Linked DNA regions of Xenopus tropicalis. The protein of the gene in region 3 purifies or fractionates together with the protein of the main gene of each other region. This does not show direct contact. Links are inferred from orthologs where the notes say so. Each region holds a gene or a part of one and is shown on either strand. Other genes may lie near its edges.

Region 1 (7,863 bases), on a different chromosome or scaffold from region 3:
TATCCCATCAGCCTAGGGCTGCTTCAGGCTCTGGATATGGAACTTGGCAGTGGGTACCCTATGCTAAGTGTTGACCCAGTGGTCAAATTAATAAAAATAGGGCAGATTTGACTCTTGGGTTGCCAAACAAGCAGATCCTGTGTAAACCCAATACAACCCATCACTCATAGACATATTTCTAATTAATTTTTGCTGTTTCTCTGTTTGTTCAGCCACTTTTATGTCATGTCATGAACAGAACAATTACCTGGCTCCTTCACCACATGCACCAGAACTTCATTCTTTGAATCGACTGAATACGTGAAGTAAAACCAGCAGTCTTCTGCATCCTTTTCCTTACAGTGTGTGAGGGCTTCTGCCTGGCCTGGCTGGGGCAAGTCTTCCCGACTTTCCACTAAAGAGATGTTAAAGTGCATGCACTGCTCCAGGCATACTTCTTGCTTCTCTCCTTTCTGGAAAGCTCGGCACTGGACACATTCTCTGTAAAATAAAATATACTGTTAGTAAATAAAACTTCTTTTAATAATATCAGACTGTTGGAGAGTTTGCTCTCCAGATTCTTGCAGAAGTTGGAAGAATTCACAGAGACCAGCCACACGCACTGTATGTGCAGCAGACAGGAGCGGGCAATGCGAGAATAAGCAGAATTCATCCTTTTCGTAACCAAAAGGGCAGCAAAGCCTTTAACAATAAATGGTACTCTTCATAAGATGCTCTGTAATTGATTTAAATGGTATAAAGGTAAAGGGTACAAGAGGCAACATCCCTTTAAAAATAAAAGATTGATGATTACAGCACTGGGAGATATTGGAAGGTCCACTTAGCTTTTAAAAAATATATATATATATATATCCTCTGTCTGTATAAGAGGCATATACAGTATCTGAACGGTCGAAAATAAATATACTTGTCTACACAAACACACATAATTTCTCATATTAAGATCATAACAGTCTGCCTCCGACTTGTACAGAGGCATCCCGACTTGTACATCCCCGTTCATCGGCAGAGTCATTAGAAGCCACAACAAGTAGCTGCTACAAGTAGCCCCATGTGTCTTCACCCTTAAAGGAACAGTAACACCAAAAAATGAAAGTGTATAAAAGTAATAATATAATATACTGTTGCCCTGCATTACTACAACTGGTGTGTTTGCCTCAGAAAGACTACTATAGTTTATATAAGTTAGCTGCTGTGAAGCCATGGGGCAGCCATTCAAAGGAGAAAAGGCACAGGTTTAAAACACAATGTGCTGTTGCCCTGCACTGGTAAAAGTTGTGTGTTTTCTTCAGAAAGACTACTATAGTTTATATAAATAGTTGGAAAAAAGGGTGGTTCCATAGCAGATAACAGATAAGCTCTGTAGAATATGATAGTGTTTACAGGCTGCACGAAACCTGTGCCATTTAGCCCTATTTCAATTTGAACAGCTATCCCTATGGCTACACTGTATCTTTGTTTATATAAAATATGATAGTGTTCCTGAAGCAAACACACAACAACTTGTACTAGTGTGTTATAACCTAATTACTTGATACACCTATTTATTTTTTGGTGTTACTGTTCCTTTAAGACCACACAGTCTCCATTACCAGAAAGTCACTTACTTGTGCTCCGTACAAACACCAACGCAGGTCTGACACAGTTCACAGGTTGGTCCTTGGAATTTAGGATCTGTACATTTACACCTTCCACAGTCACATATTCCTCTCCCGTTACATATCTGGCCATTTTTTGCCATACAAGTGGAGGTATCCTCTGAGCAGTCACAAGCACTGCCGGAGTAATTGGGGAAACATTCACATACTCGACACTTGCACACGCCTTTACCTGTAACAAAAATATGGTTTGATTTTACAATTTCAAACATCTTTAGTAACCCTTACAACAGTTGCCAGTGAATGCAAGGAGTTTGTATGTTCTACTTATGCTTTGCAAAAGGAATGCTTAAAACACACAGGCAGGTTAACTGGATTCTGATAAAACTGACCCTAGTGTTCGTGTGTGAATGTGATAAGCACCTTTGATTGTAAGCTCCACTGGGGCAGGGACGGATCAGAATGATGCATAAAGTGCTATAAAGTGCTGCATGACCAGTCAGCACTCTATAAAGACTAATAATAAAGTACTGAGACTGAATGAATGCAAGACTGCAGCTGGTGTTTCTGCCCTCTGAAACATATAAATTATGTGATCGATTCTTACCTCCACAAATCAGCCCATTGGATCTGTCACAGTTGAAGTTGTCGCATTCACAGTACTTGCCGGAGTAAACTTCATTGGGATTGTCCCGTTTTTTGCACACACACTGGCCGCATATACAGTCCCCGTTGTTACTGCAGATTTCAGAGCTATTTTCTCTTCGACAATAAGCGTCCATATCTTCGCTGTTTACTTCATCGGTGCTGCATTCACACTCCTTCCCAATGCGCCCCTCATTACATCTGTCATGGAAACAGCATAGCGATTTATTATTTTATAGCTGAAAAGAGGAGCTGGATTGGCTGTGGATAAGATCCTGTTGTAGAGGCACGTTTACAAATTCCTTTTGGCCACTTCAACCAACTGAAGCTCTACTACTCTTATTTATTAGCCATTTATATCCACTGCACTATGAATAAAATTGGCAATTTAAAAATGACATGTGATGTATTAACAATATATACATTTAAAAAAATAAGGCATTATGCACAGAGGGATTTCAAGCCAGGGCTTTAAAGTGCACTGATGCCCAATAAATGCAAGGAAGCACAATACCTGCAGGCACCACATTCGAATGTTCCATTTCCATGATGACATTCAGGGCTGTTGGGCGTCCCTTTTTCCTGGCAATCACATTCACAGATGAACTGGAGAACAATCTCTACTTCTTCGGTAAATCCAAGTGGTTTGATTTTTATGGATTCCGCTTGTCCTTTTTTGGGGCACTTGTGAGCTGTCACACTAATTTCAAATTCCACCTGTAAGAAAGCAACTCTGTTAGTATCCACTTACTTGGACACATTATGTACTGCACCGCACATCCACTTTGGTGGACATTGCATGATTTTTAACCCAAACAACCTTTCCTGCAAGCAGCTGCTTCACATTTGTTTGAATAGGAAAAAGGGATGCCTATGCTGATAAGCAGGGATTGCTTGCATGAAACAAGCAAATAGGTTTACTATAGTCCAAATCAAGGGGGTTTCATAGGCCTAAATGTGTTGGGAACTCACCTGATCTCCAATAGAAATGTTTGAACATTTCCTTCCATCCTCCCCAGTTCCCTTGACTCCATTCTTACAGAATGATTTATAGCTGATTGTTACACCCTCTGGCAATTTGCTGTTTTCCAAAATAAGTTCAGAGGAAAGAGACTGGAAACAAAAAGATCACTTAGGATTATTTTGGATTCCAATAGAAATGAACAGAGAGCTATGAAACAGTAATGAACAAAACTATAAAACCAAAAGTGCCGTCAGGGGTATGGATACTTCTGGCAGATACTTACATTATAGGAGTCAATAATCAGTTGAATCACATTGCTGGAATTTGAGGACAAGGTTCCCACAGCTGATTTTGGTATCAGATTTTTCAGCTCCTGTCAAAAAAACACAAATATGGATAATGTTACAGAGCCATTAATGTATTAAAGTTAACATTCCACTGTCCGTTTTCCGTTGCTCAACAGAAAAGGACAAAACAATGGCAGTTACTAGCAATCATACAGCAGCGTCTTGAAAATACCTTTGATGTTAAGAGTCATATATGGCAGCATTTAGCTGACCACCCCAGTAGAAATTTCTTCCATAGCAGCACTACTTACCACCAAACCTACTCTGTTCACTTTTTTGTTCTATTCTTTCTCTGCTATTCCCTTCTCTTTCTGCCCCCCTTCTCCAAAACTCCCATCCTTCTCTGACCCTTGCACTTTTCCCTTCTGCCTCTGATCTTTCGCCCCTCCAGTCTTGTTTTTGTCTCCCAGACCTATTTTTTTCCTCTTAAACTCAAGTAATTATTATTACTATTCATGTGTATATACCATAGACATAAACAAATATAAATACCTGGTAGACTGGCTGGAAATCCTCTGTAACAGCAAAAATGGTCTGAATGTTGTTTTCACTAAGTTTCTGAACTAGGTGAGCAATTGAGGGATAGTCCTTAAAAATAACAAAACAAAACAAATGAACACCCAAAAATACAATTCGTATCTACAGTATTTTCAATAATACACTGAACGTAAAAAACAAAACAAAAACAAAAAACACACCTGTAGATTACCGAATAATCATTACAATTATGTAGAAAACAGTAATTGTGAAGAAAGTTATTGAGTAAAACGGTAACGTGGGCAATACAAGATACGTACATAATAGTGGCTCATTGTGTACATGTTCCCATGCAAATGACATTTGCCATCATTTGGCAATACAATGCCGCCTAATTTTCCATCTCCGGCAAAATGGAATCCTGCGTCAGTTGAGAAGACCAGCAAGCGTGTGACATTTCTCCAACCAATTTGCTCCTTTAAGAAAAACATTAAACAGAAAATGTTAATCGTCACATAACGTGGTTTCCTATTCTGGGATTTGTAATACATAAGTACATGTAGAATATATATCACTATATGGTGCTTTTTTTGTAATCTACGTTTCATTTGCTTTGTCCACTGTGAATGTGGAGATCTGTAAAATTCTGCGCAAAACAGAGGTGCTTGTTAAATTATTTGCCTTTCCTGACCCTAGTAGTAAAAAAAAAAACAAAAAAAAAAAAAACTGTTCCTCCTTTATGTTCCTGTCTCTCTTTTAAAGCACTACATGGTTGCCAGGTTAAATTGGATCCTAGCAACCAAATACCTTCTGAAATTCTAAACTGGAGAGCTGCTGAACAAAAAGCTAAATAATTCAAAAAACTGCAAATAAATATGAAGTCCAGTTGCAAATTCTCTCAAAAAGCACTCTCTACATCAGCGCAGTCTAACTGGAGGCCCGCAGGCCGGCCGTGGCCCTTCAAAGGATCTTTATATCCCCCAGTCTGCTCAAACACCCCATTGACTTCACTATATGACATCATTTGAATTGAATTGTGCTGTATGAGATAAATAGCCTGCTACATGTTATAAGTTGGACAACATTGCTCTACATAATACTAAAAGTAAAATTAAAGGTGAACAACCGATTTAAGCCACTAAAACATGACACTGCTCAAAGGTGCAGAATTTCAAGCCAGAGTAAAATAAATGTGTGAGCTATCTATATGGGGCGGCGAAACAAACGCTGTTTGACTTTTTACATGTACTTCCAATACTGCCCAAAAGTTCTTGAGAATTTCTAAGGCCAAAAACCACAATACATTCTAAGGTAGACCTTAGGCCCAACCAGTTAGGCCCAACCTTTGGACCAGACCCCCTTGGCTCATAACAATGTGCCAATGCCCTTAATGATTTTTCTTGTGGTACAGAACAGACAGTCTCGTAACCAAGATCAAAATAATGGCTAAAAATACTTACACCACAGACCGCAACCTGCATAATTGCATCAAAGCCTCCCTCGGGAGAATCCAAGTTACCGGAGATCTGCTGCTTGCCTACCAGGTCGTTAAACAACTTTCCGTCGCTAGTGAGGTTGAGGACATTTTTATAGCTGAATGGGCTGGTGCAATTCTGATCACTTGTGCATGGGTTAATAAGCTTGGCAGGAGTGGTGCTTATGTAGGGCATGACTGTTTTTTCCACAAAAGAGCCAAAACCTAGAGAGAAAACAAGTAAAATAGGAATGTGTTTGGTAGAATTGCTTATGCCAGTATCCAAAGGGCAGGAAACCTTTATAATTTTACATGGCTGGTCTAAAACTGATGACTATACTAATGGTATACACTGGCATGCCATTTTAAAAGTATTTCTCAAAGGATGCAGAGAAAGTTACAGGTACTTGTAAGCACCCATCAATTTAGGAAGGAGGGATAAAATGGCCAGCTTTCTAAGGAGCGACATACACTGTAATTGGCAGTACTATGTAACAATTACTGTTTTCTACATAATTGTAATGTAACAGTAACTAATTTCACATAAGTGCCAGCAAATAGTGCAAGGTATTAAAGCATAGGAATAAGACTAGTGACATCAGGCTACCAAGTGCTGATATATAATACAGCTAGGCAACAGTAATTTGAGATAAATGTACCTATCCGGAAATCTGAAGTAATTTTCTCCATTTCTGTCATTAGTGCTGTTCCAAGGCTTTTAACGTTCTCCAAGTCATCTTTCATAGAAAATGAGAGGTCCATAAGATAGTACAGGTCAATTGGATAGTCTTCTGCTCTTCTGAATGTCAAATTAAATGTCTGGGGTTCACCTAGCATAAAACAACAGACACAATTAGATGGTGCTGGAGAGGAGAAAGCTGCCCCCTATCTAAGGTTTAGGAGCCTACCTGATCGCAGTTCGAATACCAGTTGTTGAGGTCGGATTTGGGTGATGTTTGCAGGGTCCATACGTTCTCCTTTCCCTTTGTTTGTTATTGGGATATCTTTTAGCTTTTGTTTACGTCCCCTGGGGTTTTGGATGTCTTCTTCAGGGCAGCCTTTGTTTTTCAAAGCAGCCAAATCGTCACAACGTGCTGACGTGGGCTCTCCTTCTTGTAAGAAGTTCTGAGATTAACCACGGGGAAAAGAAGGCATATAAATTACTCTGATAATGGATATATACTTGAAATTCAACAAATTAAAAGGTTTTAATTTTTGCACCTCAATTCAAAGTGGGATTCAGCTATAAATGTGCAGCAAAGATGCCATTCGTACAATTCATTTTAAATGGTACAAGGGTATTGGGCTGTTCTGCCATTTTCCATAGCCAGAAGCCTCTTCCAGGAGAAAGCAAATGTCATTACTGTGTAATGTTTAAGATACAGTAATCGCTGGACTTTACTAAGCACCTTTAGCTGGGCAGAGACGGCACTCCTTTGCTTTATTGCAACTTCAGCAGTCATTAATTTTTTTTTTGGCAATAACCAATACTAAGGCCAATGATACAGGAGGCAATATATCACTGTGGCTCTCTTGAAAGGAACTGCAGCTATTTAACACCCTTTCCTCTCCAGCATTGGCTTACATTAGGAGGGCATCATGTCTCAGACATACTCTGGAACAGGGGTCGGGAACCTTTTTGGCTGAGAGAGCCATAAACACCACATCTTTTAAAATATAATTCCGTGAGAGCCATACAATATGTTTGGCCGTGGATGCTGCGGGGCAAGGTAGGGTGGGCCCCAAGGATGCCGGATGCATATTCGATGCAGAGGAGGGCGTGGCCTGCACTTGGCGGATAGAAGACATGTTCTAAGGCTTAGAACACGTCTTCTATCCGCCGAGCGCAGGGGCAAGGTAGGGTGGGTGCCAAGGATGCCGGATGTGGAGGAGGGCGTGGCCTGCGTTCGGCGGATAGAAGACGTTTTCTAAGACTTAGAACACGTCTTCTATATGCCAAGCGCAGGCCACACCCCCAGTTTTTTTTTTTTATTAAAGATTTGGCAGCGAGCCAGATGCAGCCATCAAAAGAGCCACATCTGGCTCCCGAGCCATAGGTTCCCTACCCCTGCTCTAGAACTTAGGACCTATATCTTCTAGTTTGCTCAATATAGAAGTCATATGAGAGAACGGAATGTATACAGCAGTATTTCCCTGGCCACAGTCACTCAGTCGCACAGCTACCGGATATAATAAAGTAGGCTTAGATGACATCTGGGGCTTTATAGCCATTGACTATGAAATAATTTGCTCTGCTTATTGTAACACTAATTAAGTAGAGTTCTTTTATTCTGTTCTATGCATTAAGATGCTCTTATGTGTAATAAGGTATGGTTCAGTTGCTGTGACACATCTATA
Region 2 (6,808 bases), on a different chromosome or scaffold from region 3:
ATGTATACACAGAGTAGCGGTGATTATAAAATAAAAAAAAAAAAATGAGCACAACCGCAATAGTTATTTCTTCTTTTTTTTGTTGTTTTTGTTTTTTTAAACAGGTTATTTCTTTAAAAGGAAAAAAAAAACAAAAAAAACATCTAAGGACTTTTTTTTTCTATTTGCACATTATTAAGCAACTCTACAGCATGCAACCCTAAGAGGAAAACCCATCCCTATGGCAAACACACCCCCCCTCCCCGCCAACAAAAGAATAAAAGCTTTCGTAAGATTTAACTTAGAAAGTTCAAGATCATTATTTTCAAAAACATTAATTTGTACATCATTTCATACACATCTGAATGTATATCCGAACGAACAGATATGTACTTCTGTCCACGGTTGATTCTAATCTAGGAGATGGGACGAGGGTAGCGCTTGTGAAAGTTACCCTTTCTCTTTAACTTCTTTTCCCCAGTGTTTGGTTAGGAGGAACTTGGGTTATTATTCAGGGTTCTGTGGATAAGGATTTGACATGCTTCAGAAAGTGAAGGTCGGTATTGATTAAACATTAAAATAACTTGGTAAACGATCCTTTTATTCCTTTTCTGTAAAGTGAAAACCATAAGAGCATAAAGCACCAATAAGACTCCTCTACATTACATTTGGGGATCATTTTCCTTCAATCCCCGCAGGAAAAGAGGTTAGTATTCAAAAAATAATAAGGATCTTTCACACTCCTCAAATAAGCTTAGCTGGGCTTGATACGGGTGCAAATCCTCATGATGTACATACTTAGAGAAAAAAAGAAATATGTTTTCCTCTGGTTGGAACCCTTGCAGCACCCTTTACTGGCTTTAAGGGGGTTTCTGGGATTATCCTGAACAGACTGAGCTCCGGCACATTGCTCTGCAATTCTGCATGGTCTCAATCATAGAGGAGTTAGTATATGATGAGGTGTAGGATATGGTTAAGGTGTACAGGGAACAGTTTATTATTAATGGTGCCATGTTCTGGGCAGCCTGGAGACACAATCCATTATCAAATGGATCTTTTAATTCTCAAATGGCCCTATCAATACATTGGCATTCCAGGCATTGTGTTATAACCATTTCCTAGCATTTGGCCATCAAAAATAACTCAATCGCTGGAGCAACCTACCCATTGAAGTTATTTAATAGAGGGCATGTGGATAGTTTACACTTGTGTGTTATTAACTTGGCCACTTTCTGTGCAAGTTTTCACAAGAAACTCTACAGGGACAGGGCTAACAGTATGTCCTGACACACAGACTCAAGTTCCACCTTCACTTAATGGACCAAAGTAAAAAATAAAAACCACAATAAGTAAACTTCTCATTTTAAAATCCTTTTTGTTTTTATATAGCTGCAGATTTTCCATACCTGCAAGTGCACCAGACTCTACAAAATGGCAATCTGGACAGACTTATCAAGGACCTTCAGGTAAACTTTCATGAAACTCACTTTCTGCTTAACAAAGCTAACTGTATGTCTTTACTGTATAGTGTTTTGTATCATTAATCTTCAAGACGAGATGTAGAGAAGAGAAAGAAAATCAAATAAAAAAAAGTAAGTAAAGAGGGAATAATGGAATAAACGGTCCCAAAAGGAATGAACAATTCTGTTTCAGAGACCAAAACAAAACAAAACAAAACAAATCTTCCTATAGCAAATAATTGTGCTCTTCGTTTCAGCAAAATAAGGGGAGAGTTTTCTGCCCTTTGATGTATAGGAATAGGGAGAAAGGGTGTCCACGTTAGTATGGTTGGATCGGATATGCTATGATTTAAAATTTTTGAAGGTTGGAATGGTCTTCCAGTCACGGAGAAGCCCGCTTAGTATCTAGAAAGAAAGATAAAAACTCTGCTTTAATTTACACTGACACAAACTCATTTATCCTTTCCATTGGGTGGTGAAGAACAAATAGGGAAACAAATACAAAATGAGGATCAAAACATATTTCCTGATAATGAAAATGTTCTCAACTTTACACATGTAGATAATGTGGCTGTAACTGGGGTCATCGAAAAGGAAACGTTTGTCTTTCAAGATCCCCCAAACTGATTAGTGAGGGTGTGTATCTATACCTTACAAAAAAACAAAAGCTCCCTTTAATTTCATAGCAAAAGAATGCTTAGTACAGTGGAATGCCTATGCAAGCACATATTTATGGCATGTCTTTGTACATGCTGCTAGAAAACATACATATTAGCCACTATGAGAAACATATGTAAGGGGCCGTTCAGCTACACAAACTCCATTAAGGTCGTACCAAGCAACAACCAACCATTTTTTCTGATTAGTAGTACTACTAGCTACAACAACAACAAACACCATTTGAACCTACTTTAGTTCCAGATCTTGAGGAAGCTGTCCCATGACCCTGTTGCCACTGCCATGCCATCATCTGTTACTCCCAAGCAACTTACACGATTATCATGACCAGCAAGAACACCTAGGCACATAAAAAGGAAAAGTTTAGTGAAGTATAATGTAAAGAGGTTTTAGATCTTAAAACAGGAAGCATTGTGTCTTGTTTAATGTGTGGAATGTAATGTGTCCATTGCTAAAATTACCCAGAGGCCAAAGATCCTGTGAATCAATCAGAAAGGCAGCCAGCTTTCATGAAACTGGAGAACCTGGAGTGATCACTTCATGGTTTAAAGGCAACTAAATGTACTTTCTTTAATGTAAATAAGTCTGTACCACTTCTCAAAGATAGCAGTCCTGTGTCTTGTTTTGGCTTTAGGTGTCATAGTGCCTTTTACAGTTAACCAGTTTGATTTAGAAAATATTCCATCAATTACCCCAAAAGAGATCCTATTAACATTTATCAGAGCCAAAGATGAATAGGGGAATGCATATGCAAGTGTGCCCCAAAGAGATGCAACAAGGCACAAATTGTCACTTAGTACCGCTCTATCTGCTGAAACAAAAAATGCAAGAGCAGTGCTCTTATGAAGTGCACATCCCTTATCTGCTCCGGCTATTAAGTGAACAAATAATTTATGGCAACTATACATCCAGCACAGGGCAAAGAATTCAGGGAAGTAAGAAGCATCACCCAATTTAAGAGCCAGCAGTTAGAGAGAATAGCTGCAGGAGTCATGGTACTACTCCGCACTGCTTCATTTTGAATATAATCAGCTTTATGCTTTAAAGAAGCATGTTATAGCTACTATGAAAATTACAAAAAACTATGTTTGCTGTCATAAGCTTGCTTGTGTATACAATTAAGAAATGTGTAGCATAGAAGTGTTTATCCCAAAATACAAATATCAGGTTAAAAAAGCTAAAAAAAAAAAAAAATGAAAAAAATCTGAATTAAAAACAATGTAAATAATATGCCCATTAATCGGCAGCCATACCAGCTCTATCAGCCTTAAGTGTGTCCCAGACATTGCAATTAAAGTCATCATATCCAGCTAGGAGGAGGCGTCCACTCTTGGAGAATGCTACAGAGGTGATGCCACAGATAATATTATCATGTGAATAAACCATCAGTTCCTGGTCAGCCCGAAGGTCAAACAGCCTGCAGGTGGCATCATCTGAACCAGTGGCAAAAGCATTGCCATTGGGGAAGAACTGAAAACAGAATGACATTAAAAATTAGTTAATATATACACAAATCTACATATCTATTAATAAAACATCAATGTGTGTTACTAAAATAATATCAAGGTGTGTTAATTAAATTAAACTCGGTACCATATTATTGTAGACAATTATTACAGAAATTGGCTGTGCCTGATTGCATTTCTTATGATTGGCCATTTGAAAATTCTATACTTTAACAGGAGATTTTAAAAACAGAGGAAGAGAGGATTGTTAATTTTTTATTTTTTGTAACTTATAATTTTAGATTTTTGTTATTGTACATATGTAAAAAGTCAGCACAAACATGAGAAACTATATTAACTTGATGGATGGTTAGTTTTATAGTTAGCCAGTGATCGTTTTACCCCCCAATAGTGGGCCCTATGACCTTTCTCCCACATAAGAAACTTAGGTTATTGCCTTTGCATTAAGAATTCAAAAGGCAAGTTAAGATCTTCCATTATTTGTGTTTCTGTGTGCTCATATGAATCAATTACTAATCAGATTACCAGTCAGCCTCACTATAAGTCAGTTACTAATCACCCATATAATGTCAAAGTATATATAGTGTATATTATGAGTCAGTGCCTATTCTCAGGTAACTGACAGCAAAACAGAACATGTGCTGTGAATAAGCAGAAAGAGGATGGGGACTGGCCGAGGTAGTATCAAGAGACACAGATTTTTTTTAGAAATAAACCCTAAAAATAAATGTGACTAGAAATACCATATTTTATATACTGAACTTACTGCACCAACCTAAAGGGTTCAGCATCGCTATAGTAGCAACAATCCAGTACTTCAAAGTTGTCAAAGGGGGTCATCAAATTGGAATCTGTTAGAAGTGTCAGTGACATGCTCAATGTGCTTTGGGCAGCTGTTGAAAATCTAAGCTTGGGGTTCTTAGCAAATTATCAAGCAGAAAATGAGGTTTGTCTGTCATAGGGGGGAAGACGCTTGGGAGCTGATTATTAAATTCTGATGCTAATTGCATTGGTTTCTGAGCTGCCAAGCAGCAATTATTTGTATTGATTACTTATCAGCCTTATATTGTGACATTTATATTCTATATATACAGTTCATTGTGACTGGTTCCCTAAGCTCAGTAACAACACAGAGATTGTGCAGTGAATCAGCAGAAGGCTGTGGTTGCCTTGGGCTGGTACTACATTTCTAGCCTACTTCTTTAGTTAAGCTTTAGTTTTCCTTTCATCTGCTAAAGGGAGGTAGTGGCTTTGGTCTGGTACAGAAACCCACAATATAAAGTGTAGTATATGTAGCCTAATTTGTTGTTTAATTATTTTGGATAGTTACCCGCAGTGTTGATTTTTTTTTATTCAAATGCCCCCTGCCAGTGCTAGGCTACCCCCACCAGGAGGGAGCTTCTGGTGCAGGCAGCCATATTGTAACACATGCGCATAATAAGCGAGTGCCACAACTCGTTCATTATGTGCATGCATGATGTAGGAGGGTGAGTTGCATCCAACGCTCCCATGCCAGGGGCATGTGTATAAATGAGTGAGCGGTGAGATTTGCTCAATATACGCATGCAAGCCAAACATGGTCGCCTGCACCGGGAGCTCGCTCCAGGCCGGGGTTAAAACACCAGTTGGGTAAAACTATCGTTTTACCCAACTGGCGTGCAGGCTCTATTAGCCCAACCTCTGGAGGGGGAAACAATATGGGAGTCGATAGATGCACTTTAAATTTATGCTACATGAAAAGAGTGTTGCGTAGCCATACTTTACCCAACGTGCCCTTAACATGGCAAACCTTTTGGCAGTCATATGGATAAGACAAGTTTGGATAGAAACAGGTGGTCACATAGACTTACACAGATGGCATTTATGTCCGACTCATGTCCAGTGAAGGTTTGTCTACACATTCCTTCTCGAATGTCCCAAAGTTTGGCAGATGCATCACAGGCTCCAGACACGAAGCACCTGGAATCTGGAGCTAAGGACAGGCTCATAACATCCCCAGTGTGTCCAGTAAAGGTTGTTGTCTGCTGGCCAGTTTCAATGTCCCAAAGGGCACTGTTCAGAAAGAGACAGATGAGCTCAAAGCATCAAAAGGCACAGAAACACATATTATATATATACACACACACTATATATATATATTATATAAATATAAAAGAAAAGATGGAAGCTTCTCTGATGCTAAACAGGCAGCTAGGCCAAGTCATTCTTCATACACTGACAAATTAGCCCCCCCCATCTCTCTAAATTGTGAAAAGTTTGTATAGAACATAAATCCTAATTATGAACAGAAGCCTATTTCTGCTATTAAAGGAGACAGAAAGGTATGATCACTGGGGGGGTGCCAAAATGTTAGCTGACAGGAGCACTGGCCTGAGGTATCAGGTAAGCGATTACAATCACTGGGAGTGGCTAACATTTGGCCCCAGTGACTATATCTTTCCTACTGCTTTAAGGGATATTTTATAATACTTTCACAGTACAGGGAAATACTATGCTGACAGCAGTACAGTAGCTTTCTTTAGAGACTATAAACAAACTGAGGGGATCAATAAACTCACCAAGTGGTATCTCCAGAACTGGTAATTATTTGGTTATCATCCAGAAAACGGCAGCAGGAAAGATACCCTGTAGAAAAACGGATGATTAAAACAGCTTGAATTAAAACCATACAACATCCAAGGACTTTGGTATAAACATAATAATGGTAATAAAGTCCGTGTATAATTTACTAATACTATAAATTAATCTGAAAGGTGGACTTTTTATTTAACAAACTACCATTTTGTGGAGTGATCCAGTCTGAATTAGCATCTCACATTAAACAGATATACAAAAGATGTGTAATGTTTAAAGTTAATTATAGTTGCTATCTATCAATATTAGCATTTATAAGCTTATGGCCATTAATGGACGATGGTGTCCAAAGTCAAAAAGTAGTACAGATATGGGACCAGTTATCGAGAATGCTTGGGAAATTTGGTTTTCCGGAAAAGGAGGCTTTCTGCAATTTGGATCACCATACTTAAAAAGTAATTTAAGTATTAAAAAAAAAACACAACAGGACTGTTCTGCTACCAACAAGGGTACATCTTTTGTATTAACATCTTAAGATGTTATCACAACATCTTTTGTATTTACATCTGGGACAAATAGACCCCTTATGCTGTAACATATTAATACCAATAATCTAAGTTTTGCCCAATACCTGCTGCTATCACATCATAC
Region 3 (6,886 bases):
TTTCCCTTTAGTAATAGCAGTACAATATGTATTAAACAGTGCACTATATGGCGGCTGGCACTGCTATCTTTTAGGGTCTGGGTTTCCATACTGAATACTGAAACTGTTGAGTAACTAGCGAGGAGCAATAACGCTGAGGGGCCAATAAAAATAGACCAAACTGTACTATTCAAAGGGGAAACTGTCATACTGTAATAATCCCTGTGGGTCTAATGGGCCAATGCAAATGCATAAAATGAGATCCATGATCTCTGCTTTCCTCTGTTCGTCTACATTTTTTTTTCTCTTCCTTTTCCCTCGCCTGATACATGTCCTGAATCTTTTACTCACTTGTGACCCAGGCAGCCTGAAAGCAGAAGCTCAGAGGCATCAATGATATCATTATTTTTATACTGCTTACATTTCTTAGCCTTATACTATTCCAGAGCTACACGATGTGCAGAAAAAACAATAATAGTACATGGGAGCACTTACCGCCTAATCAGTGTGCTACACGTGGACCTACTCCCAGATGGATCCTAGATACGGTATGCAAGAAAAATAATGATTTTTCTTGCAGAGCTACACGATAACAGAGTTCCAAATCTAACAAAAACAATGTGCTTAATAAAATAAAAACTACTGTCTACCTCACCCTTGAGTTTTTAAGATGAACTTCCCCTTTAAATTAGAAACCCCCCAGGCCTTGGGAGAGGTTTATCAACTGCCAGTCCTGCCAGAAACTGTCAGCCTGAAGGCCATGACCCATGATCCTGTGCAGGGATCTCCATTGTACAGAGGTACATCTGTTGCTCCTCAAGGCTTCCCGGGCGACAGCTGCGCAGAACTCCAAGTCCCACTCTGTGAGCAGCTCCTTTGTGCAGGATGAGCAAAGCATTTTGCCTTCTAACAGGGCCTTGTTGTCCACTTCGCTGCAACTGTCCTTCTTTTGAAAGAATATGTAGTACTCAGGCTGGGCCAGCTGAAAGCGATGTGGAGATTGTGTTGTCTGTTGGAAACAAGATCCTTAGGCTGATACGTGGGGGTGTAGTCTCTGCCAGCGGAGAGGCGCCCAAAATGGTCATTGCTGCCTCTCATGCATTTAAATGGGAAACGTGTAACTAGTGATGCCAAATCGTCCCTTGTACATCAGCAACATATTGAATCCACAGCCTGCATGGCTAGTTAGCAACTAATTGAGATGCATGCTGCAGACTGAACTGATTTATGTGCAGCCATACATCACCGGCTGAACTCCGGCTTCCAAAAACAGCCACACACAAAACAGAAACCCCCCAATATACCTATCACTGTAATCTGTTCCTTCAAATAAGTATAAATTAATACTATTTATATATGCTGAAATCCAGCTGCAAAACAGCTTTCTTTCTGAATCAATTGAAATCCTGGCAGGGGAGGAGGGACTAAAACATTAATGTTACAAATTGTAACAACTTCTCCACAGCTTACAGACAGCATGCAGGAACTACATAACCCACAATGCATTGCACTGTGTTCCTTTCTTTGTTTACATCACATGTGCAGGGTCTCAAAGTAGTCAGCCAGATCAGCAGGGATACAGGGGACTAGGCTTAGATAACAAAATCATATTATTGCATTAAAAATCATGAAAAGGCTGCATATTTTTTTTAACTGATGTATACTGCAAAGTTGCTTGAAATTGTGTTTGCTTTTCAAAAATCAGAAGTTGTGTTTGGGTGGAGTTCCCCTTTAACTTCTAGCTAGCCATGCAGGGATTATGTATTAATTGGGTGCAGGGGCAACCCTATGGGTAATTAAATCCAACAATGCTCTAGTGAGTGATTTCAGACTGAAAAGTGCCAGAATATGGGATAAAATGTGGAATTTGTGCCTCACAATCGGTGCCCAGGAGCTAAATTGCTAGAATGTTCATTACATTTTGTATAGACTTTTGGTTTGCCTCTAAATATATCCTGTGTTCCTTACAGGGTTTTCTGTTTCTTTGCTTTGATCAATATCCTGCTGTAATGTAACCAAAGGGGTGTAGACACAGAGGCGTGCCAAGCCAGCTGGGCGCCCAAGGCAATGCGACTGGCCAGTTTGCCTCCTTACCCCGATGTGTGAGGGCAAGAAAAATGGACAAGAGTTAGGCAGAAGATGTACCTGCCTGGAGCCCCCTCATCCTTGCACCCTAGGCAGGTGTCTCTTCTGCCTCCCCCTAGTTCTGGCCCTCCTCATACAGGATCCTGGGCACACCCTCACCCTGCTTGTAAATGTATGCTGCATGGCTATACATAAATCAGTTCAGTCTGCAGCATGCATTAATTGCTGTGTGTCTGCAAAACACCCATAAAGCGTATGTGTTTCTGGCACAAATATAAACATTAATTTTTATTTTATATAATATAATTTAACAGGAGAATTTATTTTTATCCAATAGCAAATTTTGCCCATAAGGTTTTAGAGAATTCCCCCATCATCCCCATCCCTTCACCCCATAAATAAATGAATCAAGACTTTGGTGTCAGTGGGGGGAAAAAAAAAGCCCCCAAAGGATTTTAATCAGAATCTTTTTACATGTTTATATTTATATATATATTTACTATGTAATGATGGAGTGTAGGAAATAGGGGCCATCGTGCAAGGAATATGGATTGACTCCTCTCCCAAAAGTACGAACACAACATCTTTTACACGTGAAACGGGGAGAGATTGTGACTCGACAGCAATAAGAAAGTAAAGAGTGGCCGGACGCACACAGACTTGATTGTAGCACGTGGCTGAATTCAGCCGGCCTACCACGGAACTCTTTAGTATCTTATTGCGCGGCAAACACAAGATGATGCGTCCTTCTGACCGCAGAAGCTGTAAACTGGAAGTCAGAGCCCTGCAAGCAGGCCGTATACATTCAAGGGCACCCGAATTCCCGAGTGTCTTGTTGAAGAAATACCTAGAGCATCGCTCATACAGACATAGGGATAGTCCAAGCTAGGAATCCACTGCACTGGCGGGACACTGACTCGATCGCCAAGAGGGTAGGATATTTAAAAAAGAAAAAAAAAAAAATTGAAAGGGAGACGTTGGGAGGGTTTGGGGGAAGAGGAATAAGACAAGGATTTATATACATAGGAGAATAAAGACGTTCCTTAGTATACAGAATAAATCCGGATGCCACAGCACAGGACCATACTGAATATCATCTCGATGATCTATGGGAGAGAGAAGAGGGAAAAAGCAGAATTGATTAATTGAGATGCAAGTATTTAAAGGACAAAACAAACTGCCTGGATAGGACAACAGCAATAAGTAATAAGGCACAGAAGAGCAGAAGTGGATCAGAACCTTCTATCTTGCTGCTTCACCTTTCAATAAACTTTTAGGATGACATAGACATTAATATTCTGAAACAATCTGCAATTGTTTTTGTATTTTCTTTTGTTTTGGTTCGGCAGATCTCCAGTTTGGTATTTCAACAACTATTTGGTTGCTAAGGCTTATTTCTCTTAGTAACCAGGCAGTGGTTTGAATGACAGACTGCCAAATGAATAGGAGAGGGAATGAATAGAATGATAAGGAATAAAAAGCTAACAATAATGATGGCATTGTAGCCTTACAGAGCAATAGTTTTTTTTTGCTGGAATGATGCAGAAGAGGAAGGCAAATAATTCAAAAATAAACAAAAAAAAAACCCTACGTGCCAGTTTCCCCCAACCAGTACTACGTGCCATACAGCAACTATTTCTCTGATGGTAGGAGAAGCCCATGATAGGATACTGGAATCCTTCACACAGAGCTATGCATACTGGCTGGTTAGACGGGGGAGATTAGACAGAGGCACAGGGAATGCGTGCAGCGTTCTTACCATAATAACGGCCACCACAACAGCAGCGATGCCAACCAAATAAAGCTTTGTAGAAAAGAGGACGTCAATTTTCTGGTGGCAGTCCTGAAATAAAATGTAAATGATTAGTGTGAAAGAATGGTCCTAGCCGTGCCAAAGCCCTTTCGTCCAAAGGCATACTAACCTCTATGGTGATTTGCTCTAGGATATTACTACGCTTCGGACACATATCGGTGATGCTCATGGTGACATATTTTTTAAGACTGGCGTCGCCACAGCACTGCAGCTGGAAGGGTAAGAAGAAGACTGTTTAGCTGAAACATGGGGACCATCACTACAATAACAGGCAACTGCATACATTCAGTACAATAAACACACACATTGGATAAGGGTTTTTTTCCTTATAAAGTTGGCCATGCACAGCCAGATTTGATTGGGCAGTTTGGCCCATTTAAAGCAGACTGCTGAGTGTCTGGGAATGTATGTCGGCAATAAATCTTGTTGGCAAATAAATTCATCTTCACTTCCTGCAGCTGCAATTGCCTATTGGCCCAAACGATAGAAATAATAGCACTTGGACAACCTAGTGTATGGCCAGTACTGGCCTTTTTGGCCCATGGGCTGATCAGCCAGATGCCCTGAAGGGTAATTAACACTTACTGTCTCATGGAAGGCCTTGAGCACAGGGAGAGCCTTTTGCTGCTGTTCCTTAGTCCCGGTGGTTGCATGTTGATACACTTCACTGTAGAAAAGCCGCATTTCCTTTGAAACCTGGCAAAATATGTATAATATTAGCAGTGAAGGCAGCAGAATGGCCCCAAATGGCCCTGTGAATTATGGCATTTGCCTTTTCATTCTGCCTCTCTTTCATCTTATCCGGTTTCTAGGGTCATTGACTGTAGCAACCAGAATGCCGAAGCCAGAGAGCTGCAGAACAGATACATTATTGTAATCTGTCCTAGAATAACACTACTGACATCATACTGAGCAATTATTTTGAATATGCTAAAGGAACAGTAACATCAAAAAATTAAAGTGTATCAAACTGATATATATATAATGTACTAAAAAGTTGAGTTTTTGCTTTAAAAACCCTACAGTAGTTTATATAAACAACGCTGCTGTGTAGACATGGGGGCAGCCATTTAAAATGAAAAAAAGGAGAAAAAGCACAGGTTACATAGCAGATAACAGATAAGTTGCATAGATTCCCATTGTATTATATAGAGCTTTTCTGTTATCTACCATGTAACCTGTGCCTTATCTGCTTTTTCCAGCTTGAATGGCTGCCCCCGTGGCTACACAGCAGCTTATTTAAAACAATCATAGTAGGTTTTCTGAAGTAAACACAGAACTATTACCAGTGCAGGGCAACAGTACATTATATTTTATGTACTTTGAAACATTCTTTGGTGTTACTTTCCCTTTAATAACACTGATATTAGCTGGGCATGGGTACTCCAATGAATATGAATTATCTAGGATTAGTGAATGGACAGCTAGTCTGAAGGCAGGGCTACTATCAGGGCACTGGGAAGCAATGGGGGGGGGGGGGAGCAGGACGGAAGAAACAGGAAGCAGAAGAGGGAAACAGGTGACAGATGAGAGGAAAAGGAAACAGGCGGGAGGCACAGTATGTATTTTTGCTGCCTAAGGAAGGGGTATGGAATGCAGATGGACTTCCTGATGAGGGTCAGCACCCCATGACATGGCAGTGGGAGAAGTGGCCATGGCCATACCTCACTGTCTGTGTTGGAATGATGCGCCCGTTACTGGCTGTCAGTAAGGAAGAGTTTATCACACAGCCACCCTCCTTCTGCTTCATGTTGTACAACCATCTTATTAGGGGTCATTTACACCACACAAACTGGTGTATTGCACAACCTGTGGGGGGTGATTTCCCAATGCAATGAACTCACCTGCGGGTCACTGGGAAAAAACCTGATGTCCCTGCACCTTGCCGGGAACTTGTGGGTGCCGGAAACCCCTGTGACAGGGGGAGGGGGTGGCATAAAAAAAGCAGGAGTGCTCTACTGGGGTGGGGGCCCCTAGGCAGTGGCCCTGGTAGGAAATGGGTGTGGGTTGGGGGAATGGGGTGTAGAGTACAGAGATCCCTTGCACCTCCCTGAGCACTGTGGCTTGTCATTTTATATTTCTGCACACCACAATTTGAGCACGGTTGAGGCACTTGAGCTATAGAACCCCCAACTGTGGGTGCTGGGAGTTATACCACACAAAAACTATAAGGATGCAACCCCCAGAACAAGAAGCTTTATGTACTATTTGTAACAATTAACAAGTAATTCCTCCCTCTCAGCAGCCTTTGGCCAGACAGTGTAACTACATAAATACTCACCTGATCCCTGTTCACAAAGCCCCAGATACCAGCAGCCACCTCACAGGCGAAGAGGATCACCAGGCACGCAAAGAACTGCAAATACATGGCATTTGGTGAGTAAAAATGACACTAACCAGCTTATTGACCCACAGCCTATAGTCTTCATGCAGGTCTTACAACCAGCTGTAGTTTAACTACAACCAAAGACCCCAGACAGCCTTGAGCTACTGGACAATGCCAGAGGCTGCTGCCTGCATTTCACTTATAAGGGTGAAGACACACAGAGCTACTTAGTAGCAGCTACTTTTCATTAAAAGTGGCTGCTACTAGTAGCTCCTTGTGTCTTCACCCTTAGGGCGAAGACACACGTGGCGATTAGTTGTCGCAACTTGTTAAAAAATCTCTGCGACTAAGATTAATAGAAAGCTCTGAATAACAACTGTGACTTACCGTTCCCAGAAGGCACTGAGATTCCTGAATGGCCCCATAACATCCCAGGAATCCCACAAACATCATGACAGCGCCTACTGCTATTATTATATAGACACCTACAAACAGATACAAGTTATCAGTTAAACAGGTAGAACAGAAGCTGAGGCGGGCGAGAGTAGAATCAAGGTGGCAATATGGGAGACCAAACTCAACTCACCAATGTAGAAAGTCCCTGGTGCGTGCTTGTCCTCAAACTGCTGGAAAAGTAGGTTGGAAGTTTGGGGGTCATGTCGAAGCCACAGTGCTACCCCGAG
Region 4 (7,863 bases), on a different chromosome or scaffold from region 3:
AGATCTGCACGCTATACACAGACCTCACTGTACCCCGACACTGGGGGGGGATGGGGGTGTGTTTGGGCAGGGCCCCCAGATCTGCACGCTATACACAGGCCTCACTGTACCCCGACACTGGGGGGATGGGGGTGTGTTTGGGCAGGGCCCCCAGATCTGCACGCTAAACACAGGCCTCACTGTACCCCGACACTGGGGGGGATGGGGGTGTGTTTGGGCAGGGCCCCCAGATCTGCACGCTATACACAGGCCTCACTGTACCCCGACACTGGGGGGGATGGGGGTGTGTTTGGGCAGGGCCCCCAGATCTGCACGCTATACACAGACCTCACTGTACCCCGACACTGGGGGGGGATGGGGGTGTGTTTGGGCAGGGCCCCCAGATCTGCACGCTATACACAGGCCTCACTGTACCCCGACACTGGGGGGGGATGGGGGTGTGTTTGGGCAGGGCCCCCAGATCTGCACGCTATACACAGGCCTCACTGTACCCCGACACTGGGGGGATGGGGGTGTGTTTGGGCAGGGCCCCCAGATCTGCACGCTATACACAGGCCTCACTGTACCCCGACACTGGGGGGGATGGGGGTGTGTTTGGGCAGGGCCCCCAGATCTGCACGCTATACACAGGCCTCACTGTACCCCGACACTGGGGGGGATGGGGGTGTGTTTGGGCAGGGCCCCCAGATCTGCACGCTATACACAGGCCTCCCTGTACCCCGACACTGGGGGGGATGGGGGTGTGTTTGGGCAGGGCCCCCAGATCTGCACGCTATACACAGACCTCACTGTACCCCGACACTGGGGGGGATGGGGGTGTGTTTGGGCAGGGCCCCCAGATCTGCACGCTATACACAGGCCTCACTGTACCCCGACACTGGGGGGGGATGGGGGTGTGTTTGGGCAGGGCCCCCAGATCTGCACGCTATACACAGGCCTCACTGTACCCCGACACTGGGGAGGATGGGGGTGTTTTTGGGCAGGGCCCCCAGATCTGCACGCTATACACAGGCCTCACTGTACCCCGACACTGGGGGGATGGGGGTGTGTTTGGGCAGGGCCCCCAGATCTGCACGCTATACACAGGCCTCCCTGTACCCCGACACTGGGGGGGATGGGGGTGTGTTTGGGCAGGGCCCCCAGATCTGCACGCTATACAAAGGCCTCGCTGTACCCCGACACTGGGGAGGATGGGGGTGTGTTTGGGCAGGGCCCCCAGATCTGCGCGCTATACACAGACCTCACTGTACCCCGACACTGGGGGGGATGGGGGTGTGTTTGGGCAGGGCCCCCAGATCTGCACGCTATACAAAGGCCTCGCTGTACCCCGACACTGGGGGGGATGGCGGTGTGTTTGGGCAGGGCCCCCAGATCTGCGCGCTATACAAAGGCCTCACTGTACCCCGACACTGGGGGGGATGGGGGTGTGTTTGGGCAGGGCCCCCAGATCTGCGCGCTATACAAAGGCCTCACTGTACCCCGACACTGGGGGGGGATGGGGGTGTGTTTGGGCAGGGCCCCCAGATCTGTGCGCTATACACAGGCCTCACTGTACCCCGACACTGGGGGGGATGGGGGTGTGTTTGGGCAGGGCCCCCAGATCTGCACGCTATACACAGACCTCACTGTACCCCGACACTGGGGGGGATGGGGGTGTGTTTGGGCAGGGCCCCCAGATCTGTGCGCTATACACAGACCTCACTGTACCCCGACACTGGGGGGGATGGGGGTGTGTTTGGGCAGGGCCCCCAGATCTGTGCGCTATACACAGACCTCACTGTACCCCGACACTGGGGGGGATGGGGGTGTGTTTGGGCAGGGCCCCCAGATCTGTGCGCTATACACAGGCCTCACTGTACCCCGACACTGGGGGGGATGGGGGTGTGTTTGGGCAGGGCCCCCAGATCTGTGCGCTATACAAAGGCCTCGCTGTACCCCGACACTGGGGGGGATGGGGGTGTGTTTGGGCAGGGCCCCCAGATCTGCACGCTATACAAAGGCCTCACTGTACCCCGACACTGGGGGGGATGGGGGTGTGTTTGGGCAGGGCCCCCAGATCTGCACGCTATACACAGGCCTCACTGTACCCCGACACTGGGGGGGATGGGGGTGTGTTTGGGCAGGGCCCCCAGATCTGCGCGCTATACAAAGGCCTCACTGTACCCCGACACTGGGGGGGATGGGGGTGTGTTTGGGCAGGGCCCCCAGATCTGCACGCTATACAAAGGCCTCACTGTACCCCGACACTGGGGGGGATGGGGGTGTGTTTGGGCAGGGCCCCCAGATCTGCACGCTATACACAGGCCTCACTGTACCCCGACACTGGGGGGGATGGGGGTGTGTTTGGGCAGGGCCCCCAGATCTGTGCGCTATACAAAGGCCTCACTGTACCCCGACACTGGGGGGGATGGGGGTGTGTTTGGGCAGGGCCCCCAGTCTCACTGTACCCCAAGTGCAGCCCCCTGATGCCCCCCCCAGGCCTCCCTATTACCCCCTACCTGAGTTCTGGAACTGCAAAGCCACTGGATTGGACGTCTGGTTCTTGGCTTCCCTCCAGGCCCCGCCCCCTCCCGGGGTCCAAGCGGTAATGGAGCAGCGGTAGGTGCCCGCCTCCTGCGCCTGCGCCTGGTACAGCCGGAATCGGTACTCGCCCTCCTTCACCTTCTCCAGCGCGGCTTTGCCAAAGCTCTCCCCCTTCCTGTGGGTCAGTCCGTCTCGGCTCAGCAGTAGGACTTGGGGGCCACTGTGGGGGCCCGACGGTTCCATTGCCACTTGCACAGAGTATCGGGGGGAGGGGATGTTCCGGGTAGTGACGTGGCACTGCATCTCAAAGGTGCCCCCCGAAACTGCCACAGCCCTGGTCACCGAGGCCCTGACTGCCAGCGAATACTCTGCAAGGCAAGAGATTGTACCAACTCACTCATGGGGGGGGACTGGCACCGCCCAACCCTCCCACCGCCTGGAACCCCCCCTGCCTTTTAGTTATATACACACCGCATGGGAGGGACTTACTCTACTAATGTTAGCCTTATTCCCATTGGCCTATATTCTCAGCATGGGAGGGACTTCCCTTTCCACTCAACCTATCACTGAGCTCCAGTACTCTACTAATGATTGCCTTATTCCCATTGGCCTATATGCTCAGCATGGGAGGGACTTCCCTTTCCACTCAGCCTATCACTGAGCTCCAGTCTGTGCCAGGAGAGAGAGGACAGGTGGGTTTAAGCTGCAGTTGTGGCCCTGGCAGGGCGGCAGCCATTAACTGTGTATATTTGTTATAAGTGTCCCCAAAGCACAGTAAGTATTGCCTGCCAACCTACCTACCAGGGACTGGCTGATCATGTGACAGCTTGTTACCCCTCCCTGTAGCAATAGCTATGGGCTTGTGGCCCGGCTGCCCCTACCTTCTTGCTCCCAGGAGATGCTGATGGGGGGGGATGCCACCTCCCTGCTCGGTGCCCAGCTCTCGTTGCGCTGCTGCTCCCAGACGGTGCCCACACAGCGGTACTGCCCCCGGTCCCCGTTGGAAGTCCATTGGATGCGCAGCACAAAGGCCTGGGGGCCCCTGCGGGAAAGGATAAGCCCCCCGCTCTCCAGGCGCTCCGTGTAGCGCTCCCCCACACTCACTGACCAGTCCTGCCCCAGGGACCCCACAAGCACCGGCGGGGATGCCCTGCTCTCTGGGCTGGGGCTGTGGTACCAGGACACGGACAGGCGGGCACCGTCAGATCCACTCATGTGGCACACAAGCTCCGTCGGCTCCTCCGAGAACTGGGGCGTAAGGGTGGCATTCAGCGACACCTCCAGCTCTGGCACTGCCAATGTGGGGAGAGAAACTGGTATGAGTGCCAAGGGGGCAAGGGGGGGGGGGAAGGTGAGACGGAGAGAGGGGACACGGGCACAGAAACACACTGGCACAGGGAATGGCACACACACCAGCACAGGGAATGGCACACACACTGGCACAGAGAATGGCACACACACCGGCACAAGAATGGCACACACACCGGCACAAGAATGGCACACACACCGGCACAAGAATGGCACACACACCGGCACAAGAATGGCACACACACCGGCACAAGAATGGCACACACACCGGCACAAGAATGGCACACACACCGGCACAAGAATGGCACACACACCGGCACAAGAATGGCACACACACTGGCACAGGGAATGGCGCACACACTGGCACAGGGAATGGCGCACACACCGGCACAGGGAATGGCACACACACTGGCACACACACCGGCACAAGAATGGCACACACACCGGCACAAGAATGGCACACACACCGGCACAAGAATGGCACACACACTGGCACAGGGAATGGCACACACACTGGCACAGGGAATGGCGCACACACCGGCACAGGGAATGGCGCACACACCGGCACAGGGAATGGCACACACACCGGCACAGGGAATGGCACACACACTGGCACAGAGAATGGCACACACTGGCACAGAGAATGGCACACACACTGGCACAGAGAATGGCACACACGCACAGAGAATGGCCCAGAGAATGGCACACACTGGCACAGAGAATGGCACACACACACTGGCACAGGGAATGGCACACACACTGGCACAGGGAATGGCACACACACACACTGGCACAGAGAATGGCACACACACACTGGCACAGGGAATGGCACACACTGGCACAGAGAATGCCACACACTGGCACAGAGAATGGCACACACACTGGCACAGAGAATGGCACTGCCATACAAAGAGTGAGAGAGTGGCAAAGGTGCCCAGGCACAGAGAGACCTGTGTGCCACTCTCATATTTACCCGCTGAATTGGGCAGCACGTTGATGGGCTCCGTGCTCCTCTCCATGATTGGGTGCCAGGTGCCATTACTGCCCGGGGCCCAGACTGTAGCCTGGCAGCTGTAGTGCCCTGCGTCCCACCCACGTGGCACTTCCAGGAGGTGTGTGCTTGCCCCCTCGTGGGTAGGATCAGGGTCGCGCCCACCCAGCAACTCCTGCCGTTCTTCAGGGCTGGGTGCCTGCTGAGCAGATAGAAACCATCGCACACGGGTACAGACTGGCGCAGCGGAGTTGTGCCACACCCGGCAGGAGAGGCGCAGGGGCTCCCCCGCATTCCCACGCACCACTGGGGCTGGCACCGTCACATTCATACCTGCACAGAAAGGAGGCATTAGGGTGGCACTAGGGGACTGGCACATTGATACCTGCACAGGAAGGAGGCATTAGGGTGGCACTAGGGGACTGGCACATTGATACCTGCACAGGAAGGAGGCATTAGGGTGGCACTAGGGGACTGGCACATTGATACCTGCACAGAAAGGAGGCATTAGGGTGGCACTAGGGGACTGGCACACTGATACCTGCACAGGAAGGAGGCATTAGGGTGGCACTAGGGGACTGGCACACTGATACCTGCACAGGAAGGAGGCATTAGGGTGGCACTAGGGGACTGGCACATTGATACCTGCACAGGAAGGAGGCATTAGGGTGGCACTAGGGGACTGGCACACTGATACCTGCACAGGAAGGAGGCATTAGGGTGGCACTAGGGGACTGGCACACTGATACCTGCACAGGAAGGAGGCATTAGGGTGGCACTAGGGGACTGGCACATTGATACCTGCACAGGAAGGAGGCATTAGGGTGGCACTAGGGGACTGGCACACTGATACCTGCACAGGAAGGAGGCATTAGGGTGGCACTAGGGACTGGCACACTGATACCTGCACAGGAAGGAGGCATTAGGGTGGCACTAGGGGACTGGCACACTGATACCTGCCACAGGAAGGAGGCATTAGGGTGGCACTAGGGGACTGGCACACTGATACCTGCACAGGAAGGAGGCATTAGGGTGGCACTAGGGGACTGGCACATTGATACCTGCACAGGAAGGAGGCATTAGGGTGGCACTAGGGGACTGGCACACTAATACCTGCACAGAAAGGAGGCATTAGGGTGGCACTAGGGGACTGGCACACTGATACCTGCAAGGGAAGGAGGCATTAGGGTGGCACTAGGGGACTGGCACACTGATACCTGCAAGGGAAGGAGGCATTAGGGTGGCACTAGGGGACCAGAACCTACCCATGGGCCCCTCCCCTATTCTAGAGCCAGTACCAGAACCTACCCATGGGCCCCTCCCCTGTTCTAGAGTCAGTACCAGAACCTACCCATAGGTTGCACCCTATTCTAGAGTCAGTACCAGAACCTACCCATAGGTTGCACCCTATTCTAGAGTCAGTACCAGAACCTACCCATGGGTTGCACCTTATTCCAGAGTCAGTACCAGAACCTACCCATGGGTTGCTCCTTATTCTAGAGTCAGTACCAGAACCTACCCATGGGTTGCTCCTTATTCTAGAGTCAGTACCAGAACCTACCCATGGGCCCCTCCCCTATTCTAGAGTCAGTACCAGAACCTACCCATGGGTTGCTCCTTATTCTAGAGTCAGTACCAGAACCTACCCATGGGTTGCTCCTTATTCTAGAGTCAGTACCAGAACCTACCCATGGGCCCCTCCCCTATTCTAGAGTCAGTACCAGAACCTACCCATAGGTTGCACCCTATTCTAGAGTCAGTACCAGAACCTACCCATGGGCCCTCCCCTGTTCTAGAGTCAGTACCAGAACCTACCCATGGGTTGCACCCTATTCTAGAGTCAGTACCAGAACCTACCCATAGGTTGCACCCTATTCTAGAGTCAGTACCAGAACCTACCCATGGGCCCCTCCCCTATTCTAGAGTCAGTACCAGAACCTACCCATGGGTCCCTCCCCTATTCTAGAGTCAGTACCAGAACCTACCCATGGGTCCCTCCCCTATTCTAGAGTCAGTACCAGAACCTACCCATGGGCCCCTCCCCTATTCTAGAGTCAGTACCAGAACCTACCCATGGGTCCCTCCCCTATTCTAGAGTCAGTACCAGAACCTACCCATGGGTCCCTCCCCTATTCTAGAGTCAGTACCAGAACCTACCCATAGGTTGCACCCTATTCTAGAGTCAGTACCAGAACCTACCCATGGGCCCCTCCCCTGTTCTAGAGTCAGTACCAGAACCTACCCATAGGTTGCACCCTATTCTAGAGTCAGTACCAGAACCTACCCATAGGTTGCACCCTATTCTCGAGTCAGTACCAGAACCTATCCATGGGTCCCTCCCCTATTCTAGAGTCAGTACCAGAACATACCCATGGGTCCCACCCCTGTTCTAGAGTCAGTACCAGAACCTACCCATGGGCCCCTCCCCTATTCTAGAGTCAGTACCAGAACCTACCCATGGGTCCCACCCCTGTTCTAGAGTCAGTACCAGAACCTACCCATGGGTCCCTCCCCTATTCTAGAGTCAGTACCAGAACCTACCCATGGGCCCCTCCCCTGTTCTAGAGTCAGTACCAGAACCTACCCATGGGCCCCTCCCATGTTCTAGAGTCAGTACCAGAACCTAGCCATAGGTTGCACCCCTATTCTAGAGTCAGTACCAGAACCTACCCATGGGTTGCTCCTTATTCTAGAGTCAGTACCAGAACCTACCCATGGGTTGCACCCTATTCTAGAGTCAGTACCAGAACCTACCCATAGGTTGCACCTCTACTCTAGAAACAGAAATCTTCTTCTCCTGGATCGGTGCCCAGCCTTCAGGGCCCAGAACCCACGTCCGTGCCACACAGCTGTACTCTCCCGCATCAGCACTGAGGGCCCCATCCACTGCCAGGCGGTACCCGTCGCCCCCCATGGTGTCCAGCCTGACTCTCCCACTGCTGTATCGCTCCTCATACCCTGGGCCGGGCTGGAAGCGCCCCAAATGGGACAGAGTGAGAACGTCAGCGGCTGAGCCCTCTGGGCCTTGGTGCTGCCAGGTA

Evidence for each region.
Region 1: the proteins of cd81 (region 3) and itgb1 purify together in Homo sapiens (affinity purification with western blotting; 4 studies listed by BioGRID and IntAct, with this or other methods). This does not show direct contact. The link is inferred for Xenopus tropicalis from reciprocal best matches to the Homo sapiens genes CD81 and ITGB1.
Region 2: the proteins of cd81 (region 3) and gnb1 purify together in Homo sapiens (co-immunoprecipitation; 4 studies listed by BioGRID and IntAct, with this or other methods). This does not show direct contact. The link is inferred for Xenopus tropicalis from reciprocal best matches to the Homo sapiens genes CD81 and GNB1.
Region 4: the proteins of cd81 (region 3) and ptgfrn purify together in Homo sapiens (co-immunoprecipitation; 7 studies listed by BioGRID and IntAct, with this or other methods). This does not show direct contact. The link is inferred for Xenopus tropicalis from reciprocal best matches to the Homo sapiens genes CD81 and PTGFRN.

The regions. Positions count from the first base shown.
Region 1 is NC_030682.2:22,882,807-22,890,669, reverse strand, and holds part of itgb1 (integrin beta-1 precursor), read right to left. Parts: intron 6,631-7,863; coding exon 6,414-6,630; intron 6,336-6,413; coding exon 6,165-6,335; intron 5,731-6,164; coding exon 5,492-5,730; intron 4,508-5,491; coding exon 4,352-4,507; intron 4,143-4,351; coding exon 4,047-4,142; intron 3,581-4,046; coding exon 3,491-3,580; intron 3,357-3,490; coding exon 3,216-3,356; intron 2,961-3,215; coding exon 2,758-2,960; intron 2,445-2,757; coding exon 2,206-2,444; intron 1,831-2,205; coding exon 1,608-1,830; intron 481-1,607; coding exon 248-480; intron 1-247.
Region 2 is NC_030683.2:91,944,967-91,951,774, reverse strand, and holds the end of gnb1 (guanine nucleotide-binding protein G(I)/G(S)/G(T) subunit beta-1), read right to left. Parts: intron 6,209-6,808; coding exon 6,142-6,208; intron 5,636-6,141; coding exon 5,434-5,635; intron 3,588-5,433; coding exon 3,371-3,587; intron 2,458-3,370; coding exon 2,351-2,457; 3' UTR 2,350-2,350; intron 1,845-2,349; 3' UTR 92-1,844; downstream 1-91. UniProt on the Homo sapiens protein: Guanine nucleotide-binding proteins (G proteins) are involved as a modulator or transducer in various transmembrane signaling systems.
Region 3 is NC_030680.2:22,325,864-22,332,749, reverse strand, and holds the end of cd81 (CD81 antigen), read right to left. Parts: coding exon 6,790-6,886; intron 6,689-6,789; coding exon 6,591-6,688; intron 6,234-6,590; coding exon 6,159-6,233; intron 4,574-6,158; coding exon 4,463-4,573; intron 4,089-4,462; coding exon 3,987-4,088; intron 3,908-3,986; coding exon 3,824-3,907; intron 3,171-3,823; coding exon 3,108-3,170; 3' UTR 2,484-3,107; downstream 1-2,483. UniProt on the Homo sapiens protein: Structural component of specialized membrane microdomains known as tetraspanin-enriched microdomains (TERMs), which act as platforms for receptor clustering and signaling.
Region 4 is NC_030678.2:405,664-413,526, forward strand, and holds part of ptgfrn (prostaglandin F2 receptor negative regulator), read right to left. Parts: coding exon 7,577-7,863; intron 5,156-7,576; coding exon 4,805-5,155; intron 3,816-4,804; coding exon 3,405-3,815; intron 2,892-3,404; coding exon 2,499-2,891; intron 1-2,498. UniProt on the Homo sapiens protein: Inhibits the binding of prostaglandin F2-alpha (PGF2-alpha) to its specific FP receptor, by decreasing the receptor number rather than the affinity constant. Functional coupling with the prostaglandin F2-alpha receptor seems to occur.